Linked DNA regions of Diceros bicornis minor. The protein of the gene in region 2 interacts with the protein of the main gene of each other region in a pairwise test. Links are inferred from orthologs where the notes say so. Each region holds a gene or a part of one and is shown on either strand. Other genes may lie near its edges.

The links.
Region 1: the proteins of MOAP1 (region 2) and THOC1 interact in binary tests that used the Homo sapiens proteins (3 or more experiments, as listed by UniProt). The two-hybrid records come from large-scale screens. The link is inferred for Diceros bicornis minor from reciprocal best matches to the Homo sapiens genes MOAP1 and THOC1.

What each region holds. Positions count from the first base shown.
Region 1 is NC_080755.1:14,299,744-14,307,578, reverse strand, and holds the start of THOC1 (THO complex subunit 1), read left to right. Parts: upstream 1-4,754; 5' UTR 4,755-4,806; coding exon 4,807-4,860; intron 4,861-5,027; exon of another isoform or gene 5,028-5,175; intron 5,176-6,963; coding exon 6,964-7,037; intron 7,038-7,131; coding exon 7,132-7,192; intron 7,193-7,835. UniProt on the Homo sapiens protein: Component of the THO subcomplex of the TREX complex which is thought to couple mRNA transcription, processing and nuclear export, and which specifically associates with spliced mRNA and not with unspliced pre-mRNA.
Region 2 is NC_080763.1:38,850,892-38,857,706, reverse strand, and holds MOAP1 (modulator of apoptosis 1), read left to right. Parts: upstream 1-5,008; coding exon 5,009-6,064; 3' UTR 6,065-6,226; downstream 6,227-6,815. Other genes in the region: LYSET (lysosomal enzyme trafficking factor), read right to left, coding at 3,057-3,468, 3,897-4,044, 4,941-4,971.

The DNA of each region.
Region 1 (7,835 bases), on a different chromosome or scaffold from region 2:
CTGACAGCTTTAGCTGTTAACCTCTGGATCAACCACATTTGCACCAAGGCCAGGCTTTCTGAGGGCTGCTTTCTAGTCAATGACTGAACATGGCAGAGGTACTAGTGCAGGTCCATTCTGGCAAACCACGGGACTCCTCTAAGAAGAAGTTTGGCCTAAGGACTCGCCATTGGCAAAGTCAAACCTTTCTTGGATCTGCACTTCACTCAGAAACTTCCTACCTAATCTTCCTTCCTTCCCTCTCTCCTTCCACAGGTGTCAGCCCTGCATTGTGGTCTGCAAGCTCTCTTTCCCTGCCTGCTCCTACTGACTCCATAATAAACCTCTTGCACATCTAATCCTGTGTTGGTGTCTGCTTCTTGGTAGACCCAAACTAACACAATTAGGACCTCCAGAAGCAAACCCTGAGGTGAGAATTCATGAGCAAATAATTTACTAAGGTGCTCTCAGGAGAAACTAGTAAGGGAGAGGGAAACAGGACAGGAAAGGGGAACAAGCCAAGCAATGCGCAATTTCAGGCAAAATCTCTGCCTAACCCTGCAGGGAAGCTGGGCTTACCGTGGCAAGAAGTCACTCACTATTCTCTCTCTCACCTTGAATTATGTTCACGTATTGTGGTCCAACCAAGCTCACCAAACAGGCTTTTTCAATGTACACTAAATAATGATGTACAGTACTTACAATTTAATAAAATAATAATACTGCGTATATAATCCAAAAATATTCTACCTATGGCTGGCAGATGGTAGGCACTCAATATGTGTTGAATAAATAGTACAATATTAATATAAAATGCTTGAAAATTGCCACCACCCTATAAAAAAGACAACACCCACACAGTTTTCATGTAATTTCTCTTTTTCCACAAAACTGTAAGTCCCAAAATATACACAAAGTGCTATCCTTCTTCCATTTTTATTCTTCTCAGTTCCATTCCTCTCCCAATGAAGGAGTCTCATTTTTCTTGCTCAATTTTGCTTTTTGCTCAAACATCAGTTCCCTGTCAATATCATTATTTCAATCCACTCAAATTACAGAGAGAGAAAAGGGTAAAGATGGTTAGGGCCCAGAACTTGAACCAGCAAAAGCTGCAATTCAACATCCTAATGTGGTTGACTGATGAGAATGGAGCAAAAAGTTTCCTTTTGCCTGGGCTAGAGGATAAGGACTAGAACAAAAGCAGATGAGGCTGCCTCCTTGGTCCTTTTCTCCTAGATCTCACCACTCCAGTGGTAACCTGAATCCAAGTAAGAGCACAGCAAGGAAAAGAAGAGGAATGAAGATGTGAATGCTTGGCACTGAACTAAACCACCCACCCTGGAATTTCCAATGGAGGGTATCTCCTAACAGAGAGGCAGTTCCTGGTCCATCTTACCTCACTAGCATAAGAGGAAAAACCAGTGCGTAATAAACGTAAGCAAAGAGGTTACATGTTATTGGATGTCTGCCCTTTGAACTTTATTATTACAAACTTTTGAAAACTTATAATTCGTTGTTATTGATGACAATATGATCCTTACCCTTATCCAACTGTAAGGAAATAATGTATGAGACATTAAGATAGGAATGTCTGTTGGTAAAGATTCAAGAGTTAAGGATTAAAGGTAGGCTCAAATCCCAAACTAGCTTTCTCTAGCCATGTGACCTAAGACAGATGAGCCTGTTTCCTCACTGATAGATAACTATGTACAATGCTGTTGTAAGGCGTAGAAATAATACAAGAAAAGTGTCTGGCTCATAGAATGTACTCAATAAAACTTGACAATTACTTACAACAGTATAACATGGTGTAAAGAGCACGAAATTTGGAATCAAAACCCCTGAGTGGTCTCATTTTGCCAATTACCTCTATCAAGAACCATACCTCTTTGAGTTTGCTTCCTTGTGTGTAAAATGGGCATAATAGCTGTATTACCCACCTCAAAATATCATTTAGAGGATCAAATGAGATACTACATGTTAAGTACACTGGGAATTATAAAGATTTTTTAACGTGATCTAAATGCTAAAATATTTTTTACTGCAGTGATTTTTGTTTTTTGTTTGTTTGTTTGTTTGTGAGGAGATCAGCCCCTGTGCTAACATCTGCCAATCCTCCTCTTTTTTTTGGTGAGGAAGACTGGCCCTGGGCTAACATCCGTGCCCATCTTCCTCCACTTTATATGGGACGCCGCCACAGCATGGCTTGCCAAGCAGTGCGTGGGTGCGCTCGCAGGATCCAACCGCCGCAGTGGAGCGCGTGCACTTAACCGCCTGTGCTACCGGACTGGCCCCTGCAATGATTTTTGAATGACATCTTTTTAAAATGCATTACTACTTCTTTGCTTTATTAAATATAATCTTAGGGCCAGCCCCATGGCTTAGCGGTTGGGTGCGCGCTGTCCGCTGCTGGCGGCCCGGGTTCGCATCCTGGGCGCGCACCGACGCACCGCTTCTCCGGCCATGCTGAGGCCGCGTCCCACATACAGCAACTGGAAGGATGTGCAGCTATGACATACAACTATCTACTGTGGCTTTGGGGGGAAAAAATAAAAATAAATAAAATCTAAATATAATCTTATCTTGAGGTCTCAAATCATACTGATGTCTATGATGTCTTAGCTCTTTTTAATCTATCTAGCATCAGATTGCTGCTTTTTAAAAATAGGTTTTATTTTTTATTGTGGTAAAATATACATAAAATTTGGCATTTTAATCATTTTAAGTGTACAGTTCTGTGGCATTAAGTACATTCACATTGTTGTGCAACAATCACCACTATCCATCTCCAGAATTTTTTCATCATCCCAAGCTGAAATCTGTACCTATTAAACAATAACTCCCCATTATCACCTGATGATTGCTGCTTTTTTCCTACTATTTCTTTATCTGGTATTGCTTCACTTGGTAGCAGCAAAACAGCTCACTTTCTCCTCCCCCCAAAATATACTGCTGCTGTAACTTAGTAGGAACCATAAAAGCCATTTTTAACCCACAACATTCTTTGGCCTCAAACATTAATACAATCTTGTTCCAACTTGACTTTTCAGCACTATTTCTGTTCAGAACCCAAGGTTAAAGTCAAAATAAACAGCTGTCTTTCACTATGTTTCCTCCCTTCCATACCTCGGCTCATACCATTCTCCCCATTTGGAATGTCTTTCCTATTTACCTCTTCCCACTCTTACCTATGCCTATTGGAATTCAAAGTCCAGCTCATATTCTATCTTCTCCATAAAGGCTCCTTGACTACCTCATACAGTAGTGATCTCTCTCCTTTGATCTCCTACAGCAGTTATTACCTAAATTACTCACGATAGAAATTGTATACTGTAGTTGTTTCTTTTATGCCAACCAGAGCTCCTCAAAACAGGAATTAAACTATATTATTTTGTTCAATCATTTGTTCATATATTTATTATTCATTCAACAAACACTGTCCACTGTGTATAAAATGGCCAACAAATGTTTGCTGAATAAACAAAAATTCTAAGTCACTGGGCTTTGATGGACGAGTCAATCAACTCCAGCTCTTCTTATGTTTGGGTTTTGGTAAAAAATAATCTTATATACCTCCCAGGTCTTAATTGTGCTCCAGGTAGCTAATAATCATCTGTAACATAATAATAATCCTATTACACTAGCTACCTATTAAATCAGCTAATATCAGTTTATTTTGCCTCTTTGGAAATTTAAGTCATACAATCAAACCTGAATGATTCTGCTGATTCTAAAAAAGAGTGCCGTGCTGTAGGTAGCCATCACTGTTATCAATCCCCACTTAGGGGCAAAACTAGGCAAAAGTATCTTTTTGTTAGCTTCCCGTATTCTCGTTGGATGTCAACGAGGGGAACAATGTAAAGCGCACCTAGCTTTCTTCATTTAGGTACACGTGGAAGGGAATAAGAGCTGGCAGGAAGTTCCTCGTATTTGGGTCAGTGCTTCTTTCCCCACAGCACAATGCCAACTGAGAAAGTTACTGACAGTTGGCTTCTCATAACCAAGCCTCTCCAGTGAGAGGAGACAAAGGAGGAAACTGCTGAGGAGACAGCGTTTTGAAACGGGTGCCTCTACCTGGACGCGGCGCCCACCCACTTTCCAATCAGAGCCGAGTATGGCATTCCTCCCCGGTCTTGATCGTTCAGTAGAGACCTCCACGTGCCACCAAAGTTAACTGAGTCCAAGATATTAACAATAAGTTATATTGCTTTACAAGCCACACTTGCCTTCATGGTTTCATTCGCGCTTCTCAACAGCCCTGTGATACAGGCATTATTTCTATGTCACAGAAGAGGGAACTGCTCCTGAGCCACAGAGCACTTGAACTACAGGGCTGATACGTAAATCCGGAGCTGAGACCACTCCTTCGGGGAGAATGACTGAGGCCCGGCGGTCCCCGGCCACCGCCAACACTTGCCCAGATAACCCGCCTGCCTTGGATTCTCGGGCAGCGGTTACCTTCCCGCGCGGCGCACTGAGCCGTAACTAGCCGCCACCCTCCCGGCTTCCCCAAACCGGGAAAACCACCGCCGGTGCGCGTCCCGGCTTAGGGCCCGCCCGGCAGCGCAGAGCTTACAGGACGAGGCAGCCCAAATGCCGTCACCCCAAGGGTACGCCACAAACCCGGACTAGGCTCTGCGCGGCTGACTCAGGCTTCCAACGCCCACCTGAGTGGGCGGTCCCCACAGAGTCTCCGGACTGGCAGCTGGCCCCCCCCTTGGCTCACACGCCGCTCTAGCCGTGCACCGAGCCGGCAATCTCGTTGCTCTCGGCTTGACGTCATCAGCGGGCGCCACAGCGCGGTGGCGGGCCAGCGCAGCCGGGAAGATGTCTCCGACGCCGCAGCTCTTCAGTTTGCCCGAAGCGCGGACGCGGTTTACGGTGAGCGGAAGGCAGGAGGGGGCAGGCCTAACCCAGGGCTACTCTTTGCCCTCCTCTCTCTGAAATTACTCAAATTTTGCCCTGGGATACAGTGAGGACCGAGGCGTGTACGCTGCGGCGTGGGCTCCCGGCCCCGTCAGGGGCTGGAGGTGGGAAAGACGCTTTACCTGCGTCTTTCGCCAGTCCTTTGCTGTCCGCCTCCGCTCTCCCGCCAGCGGGCCCCGGGACCCTGATGTCTGGGCGTCTTGGAGCCCTGCGTGGAGGGCTCATCCGCAGACTACCTCCGGTGCGGGCCAGCTCCTCGTCAGTGCTCGCTTAGCGGGGCAGGTGTCTCCGGAACTGGACGGGGAGCTACGCGGGGCGGGGGGGTGTGCGGAGAGGCGGGCGTGGTTTCAGCCCAGAGAACCGGCTCCTGCCCTGCCTCCTAAGCTGCCAGGTGGTTTTTCCGTCTGTCTGTTCCCTGCACTTGTAACTCTCAGTATCTCGCTCCTAAGAGATCGATGAGGAGATCCTAAGTGGGAAGAGGCAAACAGATCAGCTTGGGAAAGGTTGCCAGATGTTATTTTATTCTTACGCTTTGGGGAAAAGCAGTTGGAGCTTTGGGAAACACTTTACAGAGCGTTTTCATGTTGGCTTATTTAACTCTTACAATAGGAGTGTGAAGTAGGTAAGTTTTATTATCCGTTGTATATGAGAGAAAAACTAAGACACTGCCCCCCCCAAAGTTAAATGATTTACTTCACTGATTTTTCTGACTTCAGACCCAGTATTCTTTTTATATTGCCCATGATAGCCCCAAACATGAAGAACTCTGTTCAAAATTGTTTGACTGTATTTGTCTTTAGCATTTGTGCCAATATTTCAAGTCATGAAACTACTGATTATGCTTAACTATGCTCATGTAGTTGTAGTCATGCCCGAATGAAAATTCTGTGAAAGAAAATTGATTCTTTGTAGTCAGTAGTTTTCTTGTGTTCAGGTATTATTTTTTTCATACAGTGTGGTGTTTGTTTTTTACCAAATTATATGTTGTTTATGTTATCAGAATCGTTTTCCTTCTGTGCATTTTGCTGTAATCCCTGGTGCTCTGAAGTTCTGCTAAGAGTAACTTGAGGAATCTCCAAGATCACATTAGTCCTGGAAGGGACCATTTAATTGGAGATCATCTAGTCCATTGTTTCTCAAGTTTCCGTGTGTAGTGGGATCACCTAGAGATAAATTGTTAAATGTAGATTCTGGTTCAGTAAGTCTAGAATGGGGCCCGAGATTCTGTATCTCTAACAAGTTCGGAGGTGATGCCACTGCTGTTGTAAGGATCTACAACATCCCTCTTAGTTAACTGGAGAGGAAAATGAAGCACAAAGAGATAAAACGATAGGCCCGAGATTACACAGCCTATTTACAGTATAAATCTAACTCCTATGAGGCAATAAGATGACTTTGCAGGTGTATGTGAATTTTCACAGAATGAATGACTTTGCAATATTCTTGTCTTTCAATTATGACTACTTTAAGACAGTCAGCAGGGACTGTGCTGATCAAGCTACCTAAAGGAGGTAGGACTTGAGATGGGTCTTGAAGAATGGATAGAATTTGGACGAGCAGGTGGAAAGAACAACATGAATGTATGAATACCCTTGAGTGAGCTTGATAGAAACTGATGAAAAAACAGCTAGACCTTAGTGGAAATTATGTTAGGGTGTAGTGGGAAATAAGATTAGATAAAGTGAGTGGGATAATATTATCAAGGACCTTGAGAGTGAGCTATGAAACTTCAAAACCAAAACCTGTAAATAGAGAGCCATTTAGAGGTTTTTAAAAAAAAAAAAGCAGAATACTCTCATGAATGTGATATTTAAAGAGATGGTAGGAGGGAACACCTGTAATAAGAAAGTCTAGCTAGGAAGCTCTTGACAGGTTTAAAGTGATGAGAGTCTGTATCAGTAAGTGGCGTTTGAATAAGAATTACTGATAGAATGATTGGTAGGTAATTTTTCCCAGGTAAAAATATTTTTTACTTAGACATACTATTGATAAGTGATATGGTTTTCAGTAAATAATAAGCAAAATCTTTCCACTTATTTCCTATTTTTATTTTTCTAGAAGTCTACCAGAGAGGCCCTGAACAACAAAAATATCAAGCCATTGTTGAATACCTTCAGCCAGTTACCTGGCAGGTACGGCATTGACATCCATGAAATATGCTTGCCTGGATCTTTGTACTTACCTTGAGCTGTTTAAAAAATGCAAGTGTCTTTTGTTTTTTAATAGTGAAAATGAAAAAAAATGTACCCTTGACCAAGCTTTCAGAGGTGTTCTAGAAGAAGAAATTGTAAGTATGCTTATCCTTTATTAAAATTTTGCTGGCAAATTAATAAACTAGTTTTTAATAAAGCAGGTTTTTTAATTGCTTTTATTTTTAGAATGGATATTTAAACATTACTTTTTTTAGAGTGAGCTTGCTACTTTGTGAAAGCTGACTTGATAATAGTACAGGAATTATGTAATAATTAAGGGATTCAACAGCACAGGTGCAATTTAAAGGTTTGGTTTAATAAATGAAGAAAGCCCTCTGCAGTGAATATAAGAAAAGTTGACATGAGGTCTTACTTAGCAAGAACTAGAAGTTGAAGGTGAGCCCTCTCACATTGCTCTATCAACATCCTGTAGTGGCATGAAAGGCCTAGCCTAAGGATGTTCAGCATGGGAGCTGGGATTCATGTGCTCATTTTCTTCTGGCATCCTCCTCATTAGTTTGCATTCAAAAAAAACTACAGCCTATCCAACTTCAGTAGAGAATTTAATCTAAACATGAGCAGTCTGAATTTATTTACCATTAGTGGGGCACTCAAATGAAAGGAAAAGTCTCAGCAGTTTATTCTTGGTTAAGCAAAGGCTGGGTCCCGAGAAGCTAGATCCTTTTCTAACAGCCATAATACAGTGTCCCTTTCTTTCAGACAATTCTGGATCAAAAG
Region 2 (6,815 bases):
CCTATATTTGCCATTTATCTCACTACCTAGTCTTGTTTTCACTGCTTTTTGTATTGTGATGTGAACATGAAATAAATGACGATCTGCTATAATACATAGGTCTCCTATCCATCAATTTCAACCTCCTCCTCAAATCTAACAGAGCTAGGTTAATTTCACCTTTCCCTCTTTACCAAAAGAGTGCTTTTAACTTTTTTTTGTGAGGAAGATCAGCCCTAACATCCATTGCCAGTCCTTTTTTTGCTGAGGAAGACTGGCCCTGGGCTAACATGCGTGCCCATCTTCCTCTACTTTATACGGGACACTGCCACAGCATGGCTTGACAAGCGGTGCGTTGGTGTGCACCCCGGATCCGAACCCGCAAACCCTGGGCCGCCGAAGCGGAGCATGCACACTTAACCGCTATGCCACCAGGCCGGCCCCATGAACTTTTTTTTTATTATTTTTTGTGAGGAAGATCAGCTCTGAACTAACATCCATGCTAATCCTCTTTTTGCTAAGGAAGACTGGCTCTGAGCTAACATCTATTGCCAATCCTCCTCCTTTTTTTTCCCCCCGAAGCCCCAGTAGATAGTTGTATGTTATAGTTGCACATCCTTCTAGTTGCTGTATGTGGGACGCAGCCTCAGCATGGCCGGAGAAGCAGTGCGTTGGTGTGCGCCCGGGATCCGCACCCAGGCCGCCAGTAGCAGAGCGCACGCACTTAACCGCTAAGCCACGGGGCCGGCCCCCCATGAACTTTTAAATAGCCATAGACAAAATAAGAATAATCCACAACTTGGATAATTAATTCCTAAAGAATCAAAAAATAGATTAACGCTGCAATCTGAAATTCAGTAATTACATCTGAGAATACTGCATTACTCCTACTCTAATTATTTTAATATTTCTTCTACCAAGGCAGTTTGATCTTGAAAGAGAGAGAGGGACTGAGCATTTACTCACCAAATCCCCAAATATTAGAATTTGAAGTATAAGAGAGAAAGTCTACTTCCATAAAAAGGAATTACTACTTTACAAGTGGCAAAGTCACCAACCTCGCAATACATCAAGCATTTACAAAACAAAAAATAATTGAAATAATTTTCTTAATTTCCAAACTATCACTGCCTCAGGACTAATCAAATACAAAAAACTGCTCCATGATTTTCCTCAAATTACCCTCTCTTTTTGAGAAGCAGTATGGTGGAATGACAGAGCTGGAGATGTCAAGCCAGACGTCCTGGCTCAGATCCTGGCTCTCCCACTTACTGCTGTGTGCCCACGGGCAAGTTACTAATTCCTGTGCCTCAGGTTTCCACCTTTCCTCTTCTGTAAAGTGGCACCAGGACCAGTACAGCCTGCCTCACAGGATGCTGGGAATGAATGCAAACCATTCAGAAAATGTTTCCTGCCGCATGCCTACTATCACTAAGTACCCAAAAGATACAAGGGATTTGGTTATCTGACCCTCGCAGAAACACAGGTATTTCAAACTGCTGCTTACATTGAAGATTCAGTGTATTGTAGCGAAAAGTATCATTTCAGTAATTAGACCTTTGGAGGTAGTCAAGAAATGAGATTAATTGGAGGAGGATTTAATCGTGCTCCTTTTCAGTTACAAAGATGCCTGCTTTATTTTTCAAGTAAAAGCTTGCTGTGGAATGCTCAGCCCTCCATTCTGGTCAAATCAGACTTAAAGGTTGAGGTTGCCAGAAAACTTTCAGATTTTCAGTAGCTCATACAAATTGAGAAAAGCCTTCTCAATACTACTGCCATTTCCACTCTTTGACATGGCTAGGCAAACAGTACCTAGTGCTGAAACATCTGTCATTTGCAAGAAGCACTAACAACTCAGTGGTTAGGAACAAAGGAGTCACATGCCTAGTTATGACTCTGGCTCCGCTACTCACCAGCTGTGTGACCTTTGGCAAGTTACTTATCTTCTCCACTTCAGTTTCCTTATCTGTAAAATCTGCATAATAACTGCTATCTCATAGGGTTGTTGGGAGGATTAAATGAATTAATTCATTTAAGCTCTTAGAACAGGGCCCAACAGAGTAAGCCCCCCAAAATATTATGATTATTATTAAAACCTATCACTGTAAAACATTTCCCTGATATTAATGACATAACTGTATAAAAATATATCTTGAGCTCAACCAGGAAAAAAGAAAAAAAATCCTAAAATCTAATATTTCCATTTTTTAGTTATTTGTATTGGCACCAGACATGAGGTAGTACGTACAAATGCAAAGCAGGAAGTACAAGGATCACATCTTCATGCAATTAACCTGTTGTCTGAAGACCAGACCTTAGGCCAGAAAAGAGAATCGGAAGGATGATGACTTGCTGGTATCTTTTAGAGCAGGATCACACATCTGACAGGGACTGGACTAAATATTTTCACTGGACACCTTGTTTCCATCTCCTCTGTGTCAGATTTCTCAACTTGCAAACAGTCTCTTCCCAAGTAGTTTTTTTTTAAACCAGTAGCATTAATAATGCTAGTTAATAATACCAGTAGCATTACCAAAAGGAGGAACCAATTCTGCTTATCCAGACAGCTATCACCTCAGTAATTTTATACCAATTTCTCACAAGCTGATAGCAAGCAAGCATAAATAGTTGGTGTTTTAGTCTGAAGAATTTTAAAGCAAGCCAAGTAATTGTATAAAATTTAAATTTTATCACCATGTTTGGACCTTTTTACATTAAACACAATGGAAATGTTCATACTCATTTTTTCCCCAAAGGAAAAATTTCTGAACCATCACTATGTTGCACAGTAGAATAAAAATATGAGTTCAGGTACTTATTCAAGTTGCTAAAGAATGCAAATAACAGACACGATTTTACTTCCAAAATCTGAAATCATCAACATGATTTTGTAGTATGTATCTCAGGCTTTACCTAAAAATTCTCATTATTATTCAGATAAAGATAGCCCCCTAGTCGCATTTTTTAAAAAGCCTCTGCCCCACCACAACTTCCTGAGATCTGTGAAGAAAGTGCAGTCTTGTGATCAAGTTCCATATGGCAGTTTTGTAATCATAAGGAAAAAACTGTGACTGCTTTCACGTGTCAATCAGTTGTAGTCTGCTGATCTGATTAGAAGCCTTGACAAATGCCTGGTGGCGATTGCAAATAACTGCCAAGCATATGGGGATAATACAGTAGCCCACCGTCTTGGGGTCAGCTCTTGTACAAGAATAAAGGAACAAAAACATCTGTAAGTAAGGTATCAGAAAAATAATTGTCCAAAACCAAAACGGCAGAGAGAATAACCGAGCTTTCAAAGAGTGTGTCCATGTGGTTCCTTCAAGGGGCTCCTCTGGGTGCTGTTGAATGTGTTCCAAGGCCAGCCTGTTGTAAGTCTCATTGATTTCAAAAACATAGTAAAATGCTGCTGCACTTGCTAACAGATACAATCCCACTCCAATCCATCCCATCCGCTGACGGAAGTTCATCATTCTCCATGCTCTGTGCCTTTAAAATAAAAAAAAAAGTTAGGATCTAGTAATGCTGTCACGGCAACTATTCCAAATGTACTTGCTTTATGTCCAAGGAGTTCTAAAGTACCCCACTAAGGCATTTAAGGTTTAAAATAAATTACATTTACAAAGAAATGTAAATAACTTACAGATTGCTGTTTTATGTAATAAGAGGAAGTAAAGTTTTAGTATTCAGTCTGCTTTTTATGTGAATCCCACAGAATAAATAAATCACTATATCCAGCTTAATAGGTCCAGCACATCTTCCATTAAGAAATTGGAATTAAACTAGTTTCCTACGGAACAATTCACTTTTACAGTTAAAATACTTGAACAGTATTGCTTCAGACGTGAACACTTAGTTCTACAAGTCAAACCAACGTCAAGGCCCCCAAGTTAAGACAGTAACTCTTAAGCACTTACAATGGTCCCGAAAATCTTCCTGTTCCCACGGCAAGCGTTAAAGAGTCACTCAGTTCTGAATAATCGGGTGGCTTTGGCATTTCACAGAAAGCCACCATAAAAGAAATCTCCGGGGTCACCGGCTGGGAGAAAGGTGAGCGCGGCCAGCCTGGAGCACAAGCTAATTGTGATTAAGCAGAGCGTGACTGCGGCCGGTCACGCGGCGGCCCGGCCCCGGCCGCCGCCACCGCCGGAGCCCCAGCCCGTGTCACCCGGCCCGGCCCGACGCTCCCCAGCCACCCGGGCCTCCCTGCGGCCGTCCCGCCCCCTGCCGCGCTGCAGCGCCGGCCGGCCGCGACAGGCTGCGCGGGCGGCGCCAGGCCCAAGCCTCTCCGCCTCGCAGCGCCGGGAGCCCCGTGCCGGGCGGCCGCCGCCGGCCGAGCCTGCAGGGCTGGCAGGTCCCGGATCTCACCTTCCTGTCCGGGTTAGCCCGCCCGCCCGCGGTCCCGGACGCTGCCGCAGTCGGGGCTTCCGGCTCGAGCCGGAAGCGCGCGCCCCGCCCCGAAAGGCCCGCCCCGTCGTGACGTCGGGCCTTCGCCGGCGGTGCGGGTCGGGACGCGGGACGCTGCGGCGGCGCGGGTGGGGGCCCCTCCCCTCAGGTGCGCCCCGCCGCCTCGGCGCTCCTCGGGCTCGCCCCCCGGTGCCTCGCTCGCCGCCCTGATCGCCCGGCGCTCCTCGCCGCGCAGAGCGCCAGCCCTCCTCCGCGCCTCTGCCCAGCCCCGGGAGCCTCTCGAGTGTCCATCGAGTGCAGGAGACGCCGCGCTCCCGCTCCTCGGGCCTGGCCGCCGGCGGACGCAGACACCGGCGACTAGATCACCGGCGAGGGGACGCGGCCCCGCCGTCGGCTGCGGGCGCCCCAGGCCGAGGAGCGGGTGAGATGGCTGCCGGCCGCGGTGCGGCCGGCGCGGTGCGCGGGGCTTCTCGGGCCCGGGCCTGGACCCCTGCGACTAACCCGGCCGCGCTGTCCCCGCAGGCCGCCGAGCTCAGGACGCTGGCGGGACTTACCTGGGGTACCGCGGAGGAAGTGCGGTGGCATCGGTGCCCCGACATTTCAGTCTCTTGTTTGGGGCATCATGACGCTGAGGATCTTGGAAGACTGGTGCAGGGAGATGGATGTGAGCGCTCGGAAAGCGCTGCTGATCGCCGGCATCCCCCAGACCTGCAATGTGGCGGAGATCGAGGAGGCCCTGCGGGCTGGCCTAGCTCCCTTGGGCGAGTACAGACTGCTCGGCAGGATGTTTAGGAGGGACGAGAACAGAAATGTAGCCTTAATAGGTCTTACTCAGGAGACTAGTCATGCTCTGGTCCCTAAGGAGATACCTGGGAAAGGGCGTGTCTGGAGAGTGATCTTTAAGCCCCCTGACCCAGATGATGCATTTTTAAGCAGATTAAATGAATTCTTAGAGGGAGAGGGCATGACATTGGGTGAGTTCACCAGAGCTCTTGGGTATGGAAACGACCCTTTTGACCTAGACCAGGACATGAGCCCAGAAATACGGGCCCCTATGTTGGCACAGGCATTTCTTGAGGCTCTTCAGCCTGCCCTGCAGTACCTGAAATACACAAAGCTGAGAATATTCTCGGGCAGTGATCCTCCAGAACCAGACGAAGAAGAATTTGAATCCTGGCTGATTCATACTACTCACATGATGAAGGCATGGCAGGTTTCAGATGCAGAGAAAAGAAGGCGATTGCTGGAGAGCCTTAGAGGCCCAGCATTTGATGTCATTCGTGTCCTCAAGATAAACAATCCGTTAATTACGGTCCCTGAATGCCTGCAGGCTCTTGAGCAGGTATTTGGGGTTACTGATAATCCTAGGAAGTTGCAGGTCAAATATCTAACCACTTACCAGGAGGAAGAAAAATTGTCTGCTTATGTACTAAGGCTGGAGCCTTTATTACAGAAGCTGGTAGAGAGAGGAGCAATTGAGAGAGAAGTTGTGAATCAGGCCCGCCTGGACCAAGTCATTGCTGGAGCAGTCCACAGAAGGCTGCGCAGGAAGCTTGCTCTGCCAGAGAAGGGCCCAGCCCCTGGCTTATTGCAGTTACTGACACTGATAAGGGATCAAGAGGCAGCTGAGGAGGAGGCGGCCCTTCTCCAGGCAGGATTGGAGGGGCATTTCACCTGAATCTTAGGAAACCAGGAAGGGGTATCGGACGGTGAGCAGAGCATGGAGGTAGAATGGTCCATATACTCCAGTGATAGACATTACCCAGTCCCTACCTTGTGCTGCCAAATAACTCATTTTTGTACAGTTCTCAGTATAAATTCTTTGTCATTTCTATGCCTATTTAATGTCTCTTAAATGTGTCATTGACTAGGAAGGCTATAGTTCTGCACTGGTATTAATGTATTTATTTTCACCCCCGTGAATTTTTTATCATACGAAATTGTACAAAAGGTCTGTCACTACATATGTGTGATGCTCTGAGAGGACCACGAGGCTCAGGTGCAGATGCTCACTGGATCTCGTTGAGATCTCAGCTGTGTGAACAGGTGCAAGTGTAGCATGTCGGATATGATAATGTTGTATCATAGATAGTTTTTAGTTATGTATTGCCCTCCATTTATCATGAAGATCGTGAGCAGTGGTTAAGATACTAAGTTATTTTCTGTGTGAATCAGAATTTTATTGATTTTGTTCAATCAAAACAAGAATTAAATGCTGAGGTTGATAAGTTTGCAGCTGCTATCTCTAACACCGGGATTTCTGATATGTGTCATCCGGACATCTAGTTCTGAATATCGTTTTTTATAAGTGTTCTAAAACTATAGGTGTGGGGGCCAGCCTGGTGGCGCAAGTGGTTAAGTGTGCATGTTCTGCTGCCGCGGCCCGGGGTTCGCAGGTTCGGATCCCGGGTGCGCACCGACGCACCGCT